Alligator mississippiensis: one gene and its partner. The main gene of each other region encodes a partner of the protein of the gene in region 2 in a complex. Links are inferred from orthologs where the notes say so. Each region holds a gene or a part of one and is shown on either strand. Other genes may lie near its edges. The genes, in order: WNK3 and KLHL3.

The links.
Region 1: the proteins of KLHL3 (region 2) and WNK3 are in contact, whole or in part, in a crystal structure (PDB 5NKP), measured with the Homo sapiens proteins. The link is inferred for Alligator mississippiensis from reciprocal best matches to the Homo sapiens genes KLHL3 and WNK3. Residues at the interface, in NP_059111.2 of Homo sapiens: Lys312, Arg339, Phe355, Gly357, Arg360, Thr386, Phe402, Gly404, Ser405, Gly407, Ser432, Ser433, Tyr449, Gly451, Arg454, Cys456, Ser481, His498, Arg528, Tyr577; in NP_065973.2 of Homo sapiens: Glu537, Cys538, Glu539, Glu540, Thr541, Glu542, Val543, Asp544, Gln545, His546.

What each region holds. Positions count from the first base shown.
Region 1 is NC_081831.1:27,927,369-27,935,819, forward strand, and holds the start of WNK3 (serine/threonine-protein kinase WNK3), read left to right. Parts: upstream 1-4,494; 5' UTR 4,495-4,572; intron 4,573-5,174; exon of another isoform or gene 5,175-5,558; intron 5,559-7,619; exon of another isoform or gene 7,620-8,171; intron 8,172-8,331; exon of another isoform or gene 8,332-8,445; intron 8,446-8,451. Other genes in the region: pre-rRNA-processing protein TSR2 homolog, read right to left, coding at 1,421-1,513, 1,602-1,775, 2,836-2,927, 3,106-3,196, 4,331-4,411.
Region 2 is NC_081832.1:72,934,539-72,943,863, forward strand, and holds the start of KLHL3 (kelch-like protein 3), read right to left. Parts: upstream 3,919-9,325; 5' UTR 3,809-3,918; coding exon 3,795-3,808; intron 1-3,794. UniProt on the Homo sapiens protein: Substrate-specific adapter of a BCR (BTB-CUL3-RBX1) E3 ubiquitin ligase complex that acts as a regulator of ion transport in the distal nephron.

The DNA of each region.
Region 1 (8,451 bases), on a different chromosome or scaffold from region 2:
TTAACTGATCAATCCAGCAATATGTTTAAAGCAGCCACACCTCCAAAGTAAAACGATCAAGTCATAAAAATAGCCCTCCAGCTACAAGTGCCAACCTGATACAAAGTTAGTGTTTCAAAATGTGTATTGACTCTATAGCTGGTTTCTATCCAGCTTTACTCTGCATGGGTGGTAGGGCCCTACAAAGCATGCCCCCCTCTTGCAAGCTTTGCAACTGATATTTTTTTTCCAAAAGGTCTGCTGGGGCTTTCTATATCCCCTGAAGCATTTTACGCTTTTTCTAGGGCAGACATCCCATTGCAATCTATCCCTGATTATGGAGCCTGGCAACATGGAAATGCTTTGAATTCAAAGCATCCCCACCTCTTGCAATCCAGGTTCAAATTAAAGCTGGACAGAAATCAGCTATAGAGTTCTCACACATTTCCAAGCGCTGATTTTGTAACTAGTAGGCTCTTTTTATACATGGATGGCCATTTTTGTGGTGTGATAATTACACTTTGCACATGTGGCCTGTCTCAATTTATTGCGTGACTGACCAGCTAATTGTGTAATAATTGCTTTGCATAGGTCGCCTGTCTGAACATTTTGAATGGGAGGGATTCCAGAGGGATCCAGTCTCAGGAGGCTGTACCCCTCCCCTATCACCTCGTGGTCCCTGGCTGTGGCTAGCCACTGGGGGAAATGGGACCCTCCCCCAGGCTCCCTCCCCTACTTGTGATCCACATCCGGGGATTTTTCATGATTAACAAATCACTGTAATTATTTATTCATAATAATACAGAGGTGGATTTTTCCACAGGGGAGGAAGGGGACTTTGTACAGGTGGGGGGGGGGGGAAGGGGCGAGGTGGGGATGCTGTTATACTTAGCCATTCACCAGCTTATCCACCTGAGCCAGTCATATCTCTGCCCTCTCTGGTGGTGTTACATACAGCCATTCCAACCCAGAGTCAGCCACATCTCCCTCCCCCCGACCATTCCCCTTGTCTTATACGCAGTCATTCCACCCCAAAACTGGCTGCATGTCAGTCCTCTTCCTGGCATTATACTCAGCCATTCTACCCCAGAACTGGCTGCATCTCCCCTGCTTCCTTTGTTACATTCAGCAATTCCACACCAGAGCTATTCACATCTCTGTCCTCCCTTGTCGTGTTATACTCAGCTGAGAGCTGGAAGCATCTCAGCCCTCCTTTATGATGTTATACTCAGTTGTTCCACCCCAGAGCTGGCTGCATCCTGGTGCCAGGCGAGTCCAGAGGCATCCATCTGTTGAGGGCAGGGAGGGGGTTAGCTGGAGGCCACCAGCTTCTTCCTAATCCACAAACAGTCCATCTACCACCTGCCAGCATACAGTCCATGATGTCCAGAGGCATGTGGGGTGGGGGGGGAGCAGGAAACACCTCCTCTGCTTTCCTCACTCACTTCTTCTTCTTCTTCTGGACTAGGGTCCAGCCATCCTCAGGGGCGGGTGGAGGGCTGGGGGGTGGCTCAGCCCTGCTGCACTCCATGGCCTGGGGGTGGTAAGGGAGGAAGAAGGGAGGTTAACACAGACCCTTCCCAGGCTCATGCCCTCTTCCCTATCCACCTAGACATCCATACCTCCGGCATTTCTTCCTCCTCCTCCTCCTCACTGCTCTGGGATTCAGGCTGGGCCTGGGCTGCAAGCACACAGGCCCGGGGAGCAGCCTGGGCCAGGCGAGCAATGGCATTGTGGGCGGACCCCGTCTCCCCACTCTGGCACTGCCCAAACAGCCACTGTAGCTGCTGGCTCACCTGGGGAGGGCAGAAGGGGCAGTGATGGGATGTGAAGGGATAGAATGCTGCCCCTAGGCATCCCAGAATGCTTTAGGGCAGAGCACCCCCAGAATCATGCCAGCATGCCCTGGGGTAGGCAACACTGCCTCCCAGTTATCCCAGCATGCCTGAGGACAAAAAGCACACCCTCCCCCAGCCATCGTGGGGCAGAATGAATGTCCTGGGGAAGAGACCCTATAACCATCCCAGCATGCCCTGAAATAAATAACACTCCCCGCCAAGCCATCCCAGAGTGCCTCGCAGTAGATAACACTCCCCCTCATAACCCTCCTAACATATGCTAGGGTTGATAAACATCCCAGCATGCCCTGGGGCAGAGGGCACCCCTCACACCATCCCAGCATGCCTTGGGGTAGACAACACTCCCCCACAGCCATCTCAATATGTCCTGGGATAGACAATACCGTCTCCTCTATCCCAGGATGACTTGAAGCAGAGAATCTTCCCAGCTATACCCAGAAAGCCCTGGGGGATAGGAACACCCCCACCCATCCTAGAATGCCTTGGGATAGAGCTATCCCAGAATGCCTTGGGGCAGAGAATGCACCCCCACAGACATCCCAGAATGCCCTAGGGCAGAGGTTCCCAACCACCTGGCACTGGTGGGTTGGCTGCTGGGTCACGGCACAAGCCCCCCACTCAGAGCCCTGTCTGTCTGCCTGGGCAAGCAGCTTCCAGGGTCACAGCTCAGCTTCCAGGGTTAAAGCCAGGTGGCAGGGTAGCCCTGGGAGAGGGGCAGCCAGTTCTGTGTGCCCCATCCCACTCCAGTGGAGCCACAGTAAAAAAAAAAGGTTGGGAAACACTGCCCTAGGGCAAAAGACTGTTTCCCCCTGCCTCAGGCTATCCCATGACACCCTGGGGCACAGGGACTACCCTCAGCTATCCTCAGAATACCCTGGCTGGATGGGGGCAGGAGGATGTTTAATGTGGAAGGGCTTTCCTTCCCTGCCCTAGGGCATCATGGGATTGTACCTCCCCCCCGGAGCTCCTTCCCAGCAAGCCCTGGGGCAGGGCTCACCTGAGCCAAACTGCCATCTTCAACAACAGTGTCAAACTCACGGTCCAGCACCTCGGCCAGGAAGTCCTCGATCTCGTCCTGCTCCAGGTCAGCTGGGGGAAGGGCAGAGTGAGGGATGGAACCCAGGTGTCCGGGCAGCCCAGATCCAGTCAAGACCAGGATCAGGGAGGTGCTGGGCACTGTACAGACCGCCCCCAGCCAGCATCAGGAGGTGCTGCACATCCCTGCCCCCCCCCCCCCCCCTCGCCAATTCTTCCTGCCCCTACGTACCGTTGTTGTGGAAATACTCCTCCACGGCACCCCCCAGCCATGCTGCCTTCTCGGGCCCATGGGTCCCCCCAAAGCCATTCTCCACTGCAATCTAGGGTGACAGGTTGGGGCTCCTCAGGATCAGGGGGGCTGAGGGGTCCCCCAAATCTTCCTCCTTCCCTTCCCCATCCCTTTGGGATTGAGAAAGGGGGTGAGGATCTTTTCTATAGGAGGTGGAGGTCTCATAGATCTCTCCTGCCCCTAAGCACTGCTGTAGACGCAAGGTCTTGTACAAGGGATGTCCATCTTCCCTCCCCTTTGCGTGTTTCTATAGGGAATCTATATAATGTTTATGCTAGAAACCTATATGGCCCTTGATATTTATCTGGGGATGCCTATATATGCTGAAGGGAGCTCTAGAGGGTAGCCTGACACCCCCTACATTTCTATGGGGAATTGCATAAATTGTATAAGCCAGGGGACTTCTACAGGTGTTCAGGTCTATAAGAGCACCAACTACTCCTGCATTTCCATGGAGGCTCCTATAGGTGCAAGGGGTTCTATACATGTACCTCCTACCCCAGTGTTTCATGGAGACTTCTATATGCACCAGGATTTCCATGGGGGCACCTGCTACCCAAGCATTTCCATGGAGACTTCTATAAATGCTAAGATCTCTAAAGAGGCACCTGCTATTCCTGTCTTTCCACAGGGACATTTTCTATATGTACTAGGAGATCCAGCACCCCCCCTAGTGTTTCTACAGGGACTTCTATAGGTACCAGGGGCTCTATAGGGGACCCTGACTCCCCCTATACTACTGTAGCCATTGTTATGGGTACAGTGGTGAGTGGTTCTATAGGAGCACCTGCCCCACATTTCCACAGATTTCTATACGTGTTGATGGATCTATAAAGGATCCAGCAACTCCCCTAGTGCTTCTGTGGGGATACCGACATATGCCAGCGGAACCAGGGGACTCTGGTACCCTTTTATACTTCCATATGTGCCAGGAATGGTTCTGTCGGGGCATCTATTACCCCTGCGTTTTCCCCGGTGCCAGGCAGGGGATTCGGTCCCACACACGCGCTAATGTGTGAGTGGGGGTTTCTATAAGGGCCGCGCGAGTTACATAGGAGCTCCCGCTCCTCAAATGCATCAGCAGGGACGTCTATAGGCGCTAGCGGGGATAGCTATAGGAAACCATTCACCTATAGATGCCTCCAGGGCCCTAATGCTCCCTCACCTGAAGCGCAGTCCAGCTGCCCAATACAGCCCGGACCCCCTGCCCGAAGAGGCCACGTGTCTCCTCCCTGGGTGCCGCCATGACAGGGCCGGTCAGGCGAGCCAATCGAGCGCGGAGGACATCGATTCCATTCCTCTTCCTCCACCCGGTGAGGGGAGAAGCAATAGAGTGCCGTTTTCATCAATCGGCGCGTCGTTTTCGCTGAACGCGGCGCCTCCTACCCACCTGCCTTTTGCCCTGAGGTCGGAAGTTCGGGTCTCGCGACTCGGGTTTTACCGGGAGGCGGGAGCTTTTCAATTTCGTGTTTGCATGATCTTTGCAAGAGGCCACAGCTGCGGCTGCTGGTGTTGGGTGGCATGTAACAAGGGGGGCGGGGTGATTTGACCTGGCAGAGGCATTTATTGGTGTAGGTGACCTGCAAGAGAAGAGAGAGGGGTGCAGCTAAGGAAGCAAACAGGAGCCTGGCTGCTCTTGTATAACAGGCCCCGCACATTCTACCAGCTGAGGGGATGGGGGCCCCTAGGCCCCTGGCCTGCATGGACTATCAGCAGGGTCCCAGTAACAATAGCAATATCCGGGTGGCAGTGATTGGCTATGTCTTGGCCCCTGGAGGTGCCCACTGTCTCTAGGCAGCCCCACAGAGACTATGGCTGTGTGAGGGTTGGCCACACTAGGCCACCATATTCGTTGTATTTGTGTGACTGAGTCATGCCCACTATCTCTACACAGAGGGCCGTGGCAGTGTGGGTGTTCGGTGACTAGGCCATGCCCACTGAGGCCGTGGCTGTTTGAGGGTTCGCCAGCTGGGCAGTCACATTGGTTGTATTTATGTGACTGGTCTTTACACAGAGGCCCATGGTCATAAGGGCTGAACTGGGTGGCCATCTTTGGCCACCCTTTTGATGTGACTCCATCAGATTCCCACAGCTGGGGAAGGCCCACTGTGGAGCCAGGGAAGGGAAAACGGTGTGTGAGTGTGGGGGCTTGTGTCCCTCCCCCCCTTCCTCGGGGCTGGGAACATGGTTGCCTGAGATAATCCCCCCTTCCCCTCGTACAAGCCAGGGAGGGTGTAAAAACTACAACTCCCAGGAGGCTTTGCTCCTCCCTCCCTCCCAGCCTTTGGACATGCGCAGTTCTCGCAAAGGTACTCGCACTAGCCATTCTTCCCCCGCCCCAATCTTTGCGCATTCGTGGCATCCCCCTCCAGAGTGAATGGATGAGGGATGGGGTGAGGCGGGGCGGGACTGGTGGAGATGGGAAGGGATAAAAGTGGGGGGCAGGGCTGGAGTCAATGGGGAAGAGGTAAAGGGGGCGGCGGCGGCAAATGGGGTTCGAGTAAGTAGTGGGGAGGGGTCGAGTCAGTGGGGTAGGGGATAAGTGGTGGGGGTGTTAGGTGGGGAATAAGTGGAGGTAGAGGGCCCTTGGGTCAAAGGGGAGGGGGGGTGTGCTAGAGAGAGAGCACCTGTGTGTGTGATGTGGGGGCAGGAATCCAACACTGGGGGTGGTTAGGGTTTTATTGGGAGGGAAGGTCACTGTACACCACCTGCCAAATATACACACAGAACCCAGCCATCTGGGACACACTCAGGATTCAGGTGTCCAATACACACACACACACACATCCCCACACACATGTATGCATGCACACACCCCCTCAGGCATCTGGAATGCACACCCACACTGGTGCACACGAGACCCAGGCATCTGAGAGACTTACGCATGCACAGGGGATACATGTGTCTGGGATGAATGTGTGCATACACACACACACATACAAATGACCCAGGTCTGAGATGTACACACACACACACACACACACACACACACACAGGCATCTGAGAGATGTACACATGCATGTGCACACACATGCCCTAGATATCTGAGAGATGTATACACACACACTCAACCCAGGTATCTGAGATGTGCACAGACACGACCCAGGCATTTGAACACACACGCACGACTCAGGCATTCAGGATGCATGCGTGCACACAGAACCCAGGTGTCCAGAATGCATGCATGCGCATTCATCATTCACACACACACGCTACTCAGGTGTCCAGGACCCACACACACACAGAACCTAGGCATCAGGGATGCGTGTGTGCACATACACACAAACCCATTAGTACCACAAGACTGCTGATGACCTGGGGTATTAGCTGGGGCCAATGTCAGTTGCAGTCACACCCCGAGGGCAGGGTGCTGTGCTGTGGTGGGTGGAGCATCCAGAGAATTGGGGTTCATGCAGTACAGTCAGCATGTGTCCTTCCCCCCATGCATGCGGTGATGTGGGGTGCTATGGAAGGGGGGTGTAGTGGGGGTATGGAGGTTGTGAGGGGGTGTGTCTGTTGCTGGGGTGGTTGAAATGGTTCATAGATTCATAGATGTAGGGTTGGAAGGGACCTAAGTAGATCATCAAGTCCGACCCCCTGCCCTGGGCAGGAGAGAATACTGGGCTTATATGACCCCAGCTAGGTAATTGTCAAGCCTCCTCTTAAAGACTCCCAAGGTAGGAGCCAGCACCTCTTCCCGTGGAAGTTGGTTCCAGATCCTAGCTGACCTGACTGTGAAGTAGTGTCTTCTAATATCCAGCCTGAACTTACTCTCAAACAACTTATGGCCGTTATTCCTTGTTACTCCGGGAGGTGCACGGGTGAACAGGCTGTATTTGGAAAAGGAGTGTGTGCATGTATTAGGAGGTTGAATATAAATTTGTTGGAAAGGGATTGTGGGAGAGGGAGTATGTGTCTGTATGTACATGTGTGTGTGTTGGGGGAGTGTGTGTCTCAGAAGGGGATTGTATTGGAAATAGCACACCTGGTTTCTGACCTCTGCTGTGAATGAAGAGTGGGGTCTGGTGAGTCAGACTGCTGGGGACTGGGTGCTTGAACCTCTGATCCCCAGGTCTGGCAGGGAGCAGATCTAGTGATTAGAGCAAGGGATTGGGAGCCAGGATACCTGGGTTATCTCACTGGGGAGCTCCCTTCATATATCAGAAAAATTATGTAGCAACCTGCTGTTCAGGGGGGTCACCTGGCTCGTGTCTGTCTGTCTAGACAACTGAGTTCTGGGGGGAAAAAGGGGAGGGTGGTCTCTCAGATGCCCAGGATCTCTGTGTGAGCGTGTCTGTGTGTCTGTCCTGGACACCTGGGTTCTTGGGGGTGGGATGGGGTGGTGTCCTGGATGCTTGGGTACTGGAGGGAGGGGTGTGTTTGTGCATGTCCTGAGCACTTGGGTTTGTGGGGGGAGTCCCAGGTGGCTGGGTTCTGTGTGGGTGGGTGTATCCCAGGCAACTGGGTTCTGGAGGGGGGTTTGTGCACGTGCATGTGTCCTGGGCGCCTGGGTCTGGGGGGTGGCAGTGTGTGCGTGCGTGTGTGTGTCCTGCAGGCCTGCGTTTTGTGTGTTTGTGTGTGTATGCGTGTTCTGGATGCCTGGGTTTGGGGGATAGGGTATCCCAAATACCTGGGTTCTGGGTGTGTCATTGGGGGTGGAGAAGTGCCCTAAACACCTGGGTTCTTGGGATTTGTGGGGCTGTGTGTGTGTGCCAGATGCCTGGGTTCTGGGGGAAGGGGGTGGTCTGGGTGTGTCGTGTGTGTCTGTCCTGGACACCTGGGTTCCGTGTGCATGTGTTCTGGACACCTGGATTCAGTGTGTGTGTGTGTACTGGAGGCTGCGGGTGTTGCTGAAACATCCCCCCCCTGCCCCCACCCCGTGTGTCGCTGGGAAGATGCTGCCATCGCTGGCCTCTTTCTCCCTGTCTTTTTCCGGGCACCTTTGACAGCGTCCAGGAGACGAGATTGCCTGCAGGGAACCAGCTGACCTCTCCCTGGGTAGTCGGGTGAGCTGCAGTCCCCTCACCCCCATCCCCTTAGTGGATGGGATAGTGGGTAGGGGGGTTCCATGGTTTCTTCTGTGCCAAGAAGAGCTAATCCTAGCTTTACCTGCTCGTCCCCCGGAAGTCCTTCCTTTGGAGGAAGGAGTGGGTGGGTTGGGGGGGGTGGGATTTTATCTCTTGGCAGCTGCTTTGGCTTTGGGGAACACCTCCCCCACTCTCATGGCGGAGATGGAGGGGTGGACGTCTCTCTCCCCCTCTCCCCTGGCTCTCATTCCTGGTAGGA
Region 2 (9,325 bases):
AAATACGCAGCATAGACAAAAGAAATCATCCCCCCAAATTATCTTTAAAATGAATCTCAATTATGGGAAACAAAACAGAAAAATTAACAAGAAAATCCTACCCTAACAGAAGCAATGTCTTGCATCTACAATGCATGGCTAGAAATGAAGATATTTTTATTATTATGCCTAAGGTTTCCTAGACACACACACTATCATCAAATGTTATAATTAAAAGTATGGGAAGTAAAAATTGGTTTATGTATTTTTTAAGCATGCATAAAAATAACATTAAAATATGGACTGGAATTGTCGAAGGAGCTGAAAGGTATTGACTCCACAAATCCTCAATGTTCAATTTGAGTTGAGCAGTTAAATGCTTGTTGGTGCCTTTGACATTCTCAGTTCCAGTATCTTGAGCAGCAGATTTTTCAAAGGATTTTAGGACAACAGAACAGAATTAGCTACTTCTGCTTTTCTGTTCAAAATACACGTACAAAAAACACCCTTGCCTACAAAGAAAAGATTTTGGTTTGTTTTTGAGGTAGCATTGTTTTCCTGTTTCGTCACAGCATTTTTCTCGCTGCCTATTACTACAAGCTGGACACATTAAACCTGTTAAAATGTGCAGTTGGTATAGATTGTTGTTACAAACAACAAAACCCAAAAAGCAGAGCCCATGACAAAAAGCAAATTCCATAAAACTTCAAAAATAGGGCAAAAAATTACTCTTAAAGAAAATGATTACTGGCTGCTTTCTGATGCAAATATTGGCTTTTTTCCTGAGAAACAGAATGAGAAACCAATTTCATGCAAATCCCCCAAAATCCATCATTTTAAAAGGTATAGTTATGCAAACGGAGATTGCCAGGAATTCGTCATCCGATTCATTAACGTAACTTCAGGCTATTTCTTGACAACAAGGTGCATTTCATTTTCTCAAAGAGCATCTGTATTTTTTTAAAACCAATTACCGCTGTGTAGTTTTGCCAAAAACACCCCACAGATCTTTTGCCAAAACCAGGTCAGATCAACGCTGAGCAGAAAACTGCAATTCTGACGTAAGCTAGGTAGGTTGCAAGGTGCGAGCCACTCAGACCAAAGCCCCAAATCTGCATACGTTTATGTACATGCACAACTTGTACCCGTGCAACTGGCCCTGCTGAACAGCTTACATGTGTAACACACGAGTACTGGCAGGTCTCGAGCTTGGGTCTGAAGCGATCTGAGGTCTCGCCCTCTTAGTTGATTTAAAAATAGGTTAGTTAACAAAGGGAAAGAGGGATCCATTTAAACTCCAGAGGCAACCCCCTACCCCCATCACACACATCCTAACAGAGGTCATATCTGAGACCTTAATTATTTATTTGGGTTTTTAAAGTCTTCCAGCCAAACCTCTGAGCACATGCATGAGAGTAACAGCAGAACCGCCACCAAAAAAAATACAACCTATCACCAACCTGATACATTCACCGTCCGACACGCTGAGATCAAGTACCTGACGGCATCATTTCAAGACCTATTCATTGCGTTTCTCAGCGCACACTATGCAGCTTTTGTGGCGTTTCTGTGACGTGCTCTGGTAGAATGGGGAAGCCTGTGAATAACTCAACTGTCTCCTCCGAGAGGGCAAAACTCCAAGTTACTGGTTCAGATCATTAAAGAGCCTCGTCTCCCAGCCCTAAACGTCAGCCATAGTTTGTTAGTTTGGGTAATTATATTCCGCTGACCTAAATCCCCCTGCAGTTTCAATTAGATGCTTCACTTTCAGAGGCTAAGCAGACATACAGCTTGTGACACCTCTTCGTTCCCTGAGGCCAGTCTAAAATGACGCTGAGAAAAATCGGAAGGGTCACTCTAAAGACAGCTGTGTTCCTACCGTGTCCTGGACAACCAGGCCCCAAACTGAACAGAGATTTTTGAACACTACCGTAACAGAAGTGATTAACGGTGATGATGACAACAATCCCTTGCCCGTAAGGTCAAATGCTGGGATAAAGAAGCACAAGGCTCCAGCTTCCTCTCCTGTCAACTCTCTCCACCACTAGATTCATGGCAAGAACTGGAAGGAAATGACATGAATCTAGAAAAGAACGAGTATACGATTCGAAGATGCTAACGGTGAAACATCCGCAGCTGGCCATTTAAACACCGACTGGAAACACTACATCTAGGATGCATTAAACAGCAGGACATCCAGGCTGAAAGTTGCATTTTGAGCAGTAAGTAAGTACACAAACAGCAGTTGCGATCCTTGAGTCACCTGAGGGTAGAAGCTCGCCTTTCGGTATTTGGGCAAAAAAGTGGCTACAGGGAGAGTAACTGGTCCAGAAAGTACAGCAGGGTTTGACCCCCCCAGTTCACTTCAGATACAGGGCACTGGAGAAGCAAAGTTTTCTCCAACCTGCAAAGGTTGGCAGCTTCCTTCAGCAAAGGCTTCCCTGCCCCCAGATGCAGGAGGTCACAGGCACAGCTCAAAAAGGAAGCACTCGGCATATCCTGTTTTCAGAAATGACTAGCTTCACGCTTGGTTTTGAGCGGGAAGGTGTTAAGACTCTGGCGTAAGAAAGTCACAGGGACAGCCGAGGAAAAAGGCTGGGTAGAGCACAGTAAATATTTAAGATTCCTCTGGTATCTATGAAGTTCCCAAGCAGCAATAACAAGGCTCGGTACTTGTGCTAGGTTCAAGGCGCTGTTCTAGCCACCGTACAGAAAACAAGGAGTTAAGGGCCGATTTACCGTATAAAAATCAAGCCCGTAGCTACTGGGGTCTCCCCCGCCTGTCATAAAGCACGGGTCACTGGTTTTTGCTTACAGAGGACGTGTAAATAGGCTGGCAGGCGCTTTGCAAACTTGGTCTACTTTTGTTCATTAACTACAAATAGCACTAACGAGCGGACGGTGGGGCCAGAACTGAACTCCACCAGCAGAAACACAAGCGGGGGAGGAAAAAACAAAGAAAGCAGAGCGCAGGATTGTTTCGCGGCGCGGATCTGGTGGCATGAAGTTCGCGGCTCTGCCGCAGCAGGTCAAGCCACGTGGCCTGCCAGCCCCCCTCGGGCTCCTCGTCACCTTGCCCGGGCTAATAAATGCATCCTAAGGGCTCGTACAGCAACCCTGTTCCATGCCCTGCAAAAACTAAATGGGTTATTGCAGCTCACGGCAGATGGAGGAGCTCCTCGCCGAGGATGCTGCACAGGCTCAGAAGGATGCAGAAAATAACGTACATCTGGGTGAAGGGGGTGGCAAGAAGCCCCTGTCCACACTGAACCCCCCCCCCCAGCTTCAGAGCCAACCGTGGCCCCCGAGGGACAGCAAGAGTCACCGGGATCAACTTGTGCCTGCTGCGCCCGGTGCCCGGGTGGCATCTCGCTGGCTAGCAGGCGGCCGCGGAGCAGCGCGCGGGAGGGGAAGCCGCGCTCCATCTCCCCTGAAACTGCTGGGCTCCTTTGGGTTTTAATTTAAAAAAAAAAAACCCCGTTTGTGGCTCATGTCCCCGGCTGCAGCTCACGTCTCCTTGCACACGCACGCTGCAAGGATCTGAAAGTGGGGGGAAGGGGCTAAATCTCCCCGTCCCCACACCGCTGAGACACGCACACACCCCCACGGAGACGCCACAGACACACATTCCCACAGACCCACACACACCTCCCCCACACACACCACACACAGCCACCGCCTACACCCCCACACACACCCCAGCAGCTGATCTGGGATCAGCTGCCCAGGGAGGGGGGGGTGAGGGGGCAGTCCCCGTGACCCGCGCGCACACACGCACACGCACACACACACACACCTCCCCCGCCGTCACGCACCTCTCCTGGTCCATGTCGGCGCGGGGCCGGGCGCTCAGGGCGCGCCGAGCAGCATGGCCGGGCCGGCCCCTGCAGCAGCAGCACGGCGGCGGCGGCGGTGGCAGCGGCGCTAGTAGCGGCGGCGGCGGCTCCTTACCCAGCGCTCCCTGCAGCCCCGCCCACCCCCCCCCACCGCGCCCGGTCTCCCGGCAACGCCGCCGAGCACCCCTCCCCCCGGCGGCGGCGGCGAGGCGGGCTGCGGGCCCGGGCCGCCGGAGGAAGGGGCAGCGGGCCCCCGCGGCCTGCAGCCTCGGCCGCAAGATGCCCGCCGGGGCTGGGGGAGCGTCTCGGGCCCAGCCTCGAAGGACTGAGCTGAACTGATTTGGCCCAAAACACGAATTAAAAACCAACACAAACCCGCCTGCATCGCCCCCGGGCTGCTCGGACCGTGCCGCCGGCCGGCCCCTCGCCCGCGGCCGCCTGGCGCGTCCCCGCCTGCCGCGACAGCAGCCCCAGACCCCGGCAACATGGATACACGGGTCAAGGGTGGGTTTGGCCTCGCCGTAGAGACGCGGGGATGCAGGCAGGATTTCACGTGGGAAGCCGAAGAAGCGCGAGGCTCCCCACATGTCCCCTTGGGAAGGGGACTCTGCTCCTGCTCGGTATTTCCAAGTGCCGTCGGGTCCCATCGCGTGGAGCCCCTGGCGCAGAGACCACCGGGGCGCTTTGCTGGGACCGGGGGCACCACCTCGGCCCCAGAGTCGGGTCAGGAACACGGGAGCAGGCCCAGGATCGTGCAGCTCCACCGCGTACAAGGCAAGCACGGGGGTCGCGGGGCTGCACCACGCGCCCCGGCACGAGCGCCGCTCCTCCACGCACGCTCGCGTCGCAGACAGAAGGCAAAGCGTGAAGCGCAACCAACTCCGAGACGTACGAGCTTATTATGCGCGTCCCTGAAATAGTGTGCAACGTGCAACTCTGCCCTGCCTTCGGCCGGACTTCAGGCTAACGTGGTTTACTACCTCCCCGCGCACTTTTCAGAGGGCAGCGTTCAGCTTTCCAAAGGTCCGTCTTCATGAAAACACCCCCAGACACTGCAGTGACAGGCAGCGATTGAGATCATTTGGAGAATGCTTCCCCCAATGCTTTTTGGCTGTTGCTTCTTTGTCAAATAGGTTGACAGTGCCAAGGTATTTCAACACCGGAAGTCAAGGCCAAAACTTTACCTGTAGCTTAGCTAAATGTTACTCTAGTAGAGCACTGGAGACGCTAGCAGTTTATTATAGAGTGAGTGTGTATATGCTGTATGTCCACTAATTTTGGCTGTTAATCATTTCCTAACAAGAGACCAATAGTGTACATTTCATCCATTCAGAGTTACGTACGATATGCATATCCTGCCAGGCCAACTTATCTATTATTTGATCAAAGTTTCTTCTAGACTCCAGATGGTAGCAGTCACAGTTTGAGCCCTCCAGCACTGGTTTTTACAACACCTCCCATTTTTATTCCAGCTAGTGTAACTGCTGGAGTGATTCTTATAATCATCTATGAATTTTCCAAAGCTATTATTTCCCCCATCATGTTCTGTAGCAACAAGTTCCAAAGGTTAATTGTACAGAGCACAGAGGGGAATTTGCTTTCTTGTTTGCTTTTCCATTCATTCAGCGCTCTTGTAGTGTGGGAAGAGATGTGCAGAACTGTCCAAAAGCCTTTGCCAAGCCATGTAATACTCCATCTCCTTTGTACAATTATATAACCCTAGCCTTTTAAACTTCCACCTTAATAGGAGGCATTCTATTGGGTACCTTCAGTCATTTTTAACTAAGTTCAATTGCTTTTAAATTTTATCCATGATAATAATTTAATAAATTGTCCTTCTACAGTGCCTTTTACCCAAGAACCTGTGCAAATATAACAGAGGTAAAACTAGATTTTATCATCCCTACTCTAAACTTAGGCATAGGGAAATGAAGTCAGCCAATGTCACATAGTATATGAAGGAAGGCTGGGAATAGCACCCAAGGCTCCTGCCATCTAGTCCCACAGTTTAAACAATTTTGCCTGTTTCCTTATAGACAAACACAACCAGAATTTCATACAGGATTCTGCAGACCCCCGAGGAGAAAGTTGCCCAGATGTTCCCTTTGGAAGGGATCAGTGGGAAGATTTTAACTCAGATCCTACTAGTGCCCATTTAGTCATATGCTCCCAGAACACAGCCCAAAGCTAGTAAGGGCATAAAAGCAAACAGCAAAAGTAACAACACTAAAAGCGGTAGTGAAATGAGAGCCCTTGTCCTTCTCTTTGAATGCAAAATGGCAAAGCTCCTCACTGATGACAGAAGGAGCACAGGTAGGTTCTGTGCCAAGCCCCTGAGCAGCATAGAGGTATTACACAAGTGACTACTAACTCACAAGGTACTCGCCTCTCAGTTTAAAGGCCACTGACAGAAGACCTCACCTCATGCACCCTAGTCTAGTGCCAATGACAAGACTAGAGCACTCGATGGGTAGCAAGTGCTGGGCTAGAACAAAGATACAGTCAAGGAAGCAGTGATTGTCTTTATAGCAGCCTTGTAAAACAGTCGTGCCTGGCACAAACTTTGCCTGCTACTTCCTACAAGATTGAGGGGCATGAAAATGAAGATATTTTACTCGCTATCCAGAAATCACTCATGCTTCGTGATGGGAATTTTCTCATGACTGTTCCAAGTAATTAGCAAGTCAAAGAGTTTGGAGGTTTCCTGAAGCATGCGTGTAAAGTTGGCACGTTCTGACTCAACATGTAGCACCGATTCCAAGCCTGCATCTTCAAGTCTTGGCTGCTCGTCAGGGTATTTTTATTTAGAAAAGTCTCTCTAACTTCTGGCATCTGTGATCCCTACCAGTAAAGAATCAAATCGGTGAAAGTCTGATGGGTCTCACTTAGATTGTAAACTTTAGGGCAGGGAGCATCAGCTCAAAAGCAACTATTGAAACCAGCCAGTTGATACTGGGGAGCCCAGCAGGGGATCTCTTCGACTTAATCTTCAGAAGTCTTCAGCCCCAGCAGCTCCACTGCACTTCAAGTGGAATCAAAAGTGATCAGTACTAAGTGTGAATGGGTCTGTTTGAATGCCCAAAGCTTCAAGCATCAAAGATCAGAGACATTTGAGGTGGAAAAAAACCAGAACAAAACCTAAATCTTATGTTTTTACTCCCTTTGTAACATGCTTATCACTTCTTTTGAGTACCCAAAGATATAATTTGTACTACTGTACAAATTTGCTGTAATTTAGAGCAGTCAGCCTATCTTTTGTCTTTTTCCCAGGATAAACCAAGGTAAAATGTTCAGCAAAACAACTCCTACTAGGATTAGGATATCCTTGTAAGGCCCCAAATTAGCAGGACACCCTTTGTGAGAATCCAGTAGGGATTCACAATAAGGCTGTTTGCAGATCTGGGGATCCATGTGTTTTTGGCAGCTTAAATGTCAAAGATAAACGCACTGGATTCATTACTGCACCCTTAAGGTTTTGACTCAGTTTAATGATAAGAATGTAGGCCTCATTTACTTATCTCCAAATGTCCTGTACTCTTTCTACACAGGCAGCATGGAAAGATCCTGCGTAACCCTAGACTCAGCTGCAGCAGAAAAGAAAAAAAAATGATGGTAGATGAATTTCTTTTTTAAGCTGCGAATGTTGCCCTCTAGCGGCAGATGTACAGTTATGTTAATCTTGCTTTACCACTAGCCTGCATATTACCTTGACAAAAATGCAACTTTTCTGGATTCTAGTACGCAGTATCAACCCTTTGCTCTATGTTTAAATGGTTTGCGTCATGCTGATACTCCTCCCCACCCCCCAAACTCTTCAAATTTAGAACATTATGAAGACAAGGAATGGCCACAATTGGAACCTGGCTATGAATTTTAGAATGCAAAAAAGTTACTGCTCTGCTCGCACAAGGTAACAACGAACAGCTAAGCTGCAAAACCATTACTACACCTTGATTTAAAAAAAAATAAATAAAAGCAAGTGTCCTCACCCACAGCCAAACACGGCACAGATGCAAACTGCCTTCCCTAAATCCATATTGCAACTATACCGGGGTCATCTGAAAAGGAGCGTCGCAGGAACATGTTACACTAGAGAGTAAACAAAGTAAAAATTAGCAGCAGTGGGAACACAAAATATGGGTGGAGGGGAAGGGGTAGATAAGGTGTGTGAATAAATACCTAAACAGGGTGAAATGCTTCAGGAAAAGGCGATGGAGGTCCATGTTCCTGTAAATGGACCAAAGGAAAGTGAAACAAACCAAATAATAAATCAACACTATGCTGATGCTACTAAAAGTGTTCTCTGTAGAAAAGATTGCCCTAATGGTTATATATTTGCCCCAAACTGGACATATGGGCACACAACACATTTTAAAGTAATTTAAAGAAAAGCAGAGGATGCTTGTTTCCCCATTCTGGGAGGGGTCGTGATTTAGTGTCTAGAGCCTTGTTGGGTTCCAGCATCACTGACTCTTAGCTAGGTGACACAGGAGGAAACTTTTCAGAGGCAGAACGTAGCAGTTTGCCCATTTGCAAGGTGTGCAGGGTTATGCCCACCCCTCCCTGCCAAACCAATGCCTTAAAACTTGAGTAATACCCTCCTTAGTTTGGGCAGGCTACTGATGCAAGTCATAACCATGCTGGAAGGTTTAACTGGCAGACAAGGTTCTTTAGGTACATCTGATATCTTCTTTTAAACCAACTCCTTGTCTGCCTATGTCCTTAGACCAACACGGCTACAGCCTATACCCCTGTACCTAGTGCTGAAGAGCGATTTTGGCATACTGGCATAAACCAGTCTCATCTATGCTAGAGAAAATTCTCTCCCGCCACCTCCCAGGTCTAGGCCTAAATCACCATTACCCTTGGTTGCTCATTTCCTCTGGTTTCCTTCCCCTTTTAGATTTTACTTTCCATTTCTCGTTCTTAACATGTCAAATAAACTTGGGCACACTGCTTTATCCACCAGAACATTATGAGGTATGACATTATGATGCAACTCCTAGCACAAGCATACAAGCTACAGGTGCAGCATTAAAAGGCTTAGGGGGTGCTGTTTTTCCACAGGCACATTCCTTTGCCTATTTGAATCTATATTTACCAGGTAGTCTAGTGATACCTAAATAACGTAGACTCTCTCGTGAGCTCGCTCAGGACCTCAGACAAATGAGACATTGTTCAATCTAAAATCATAAGCCTTGTCAACTCCATTTTGGGATTCAGCCCACTCTACTCTAAGCCCTGGTTTCTATTCCTCTATAAAGTTTGTGTCACATTATTTGAGGGCTCAGATGTCTCATGCTGTTTCAGCTCACTAGATGCAGTCTCCCTCTGTAGAGAAGGTATTTTAAGAGACTTCTGCTTCAGTTAATCAGTATTGTGATACCTTTTGTATTAACTTTAGCTGAAAGATTAGAAAAAAAATGGACAATTACCTTTAAGTCTTCTAATGAATATATCACATCACACTTGTGGCATACCAAGCCTCTAGCATGGCACAGATGGGTATC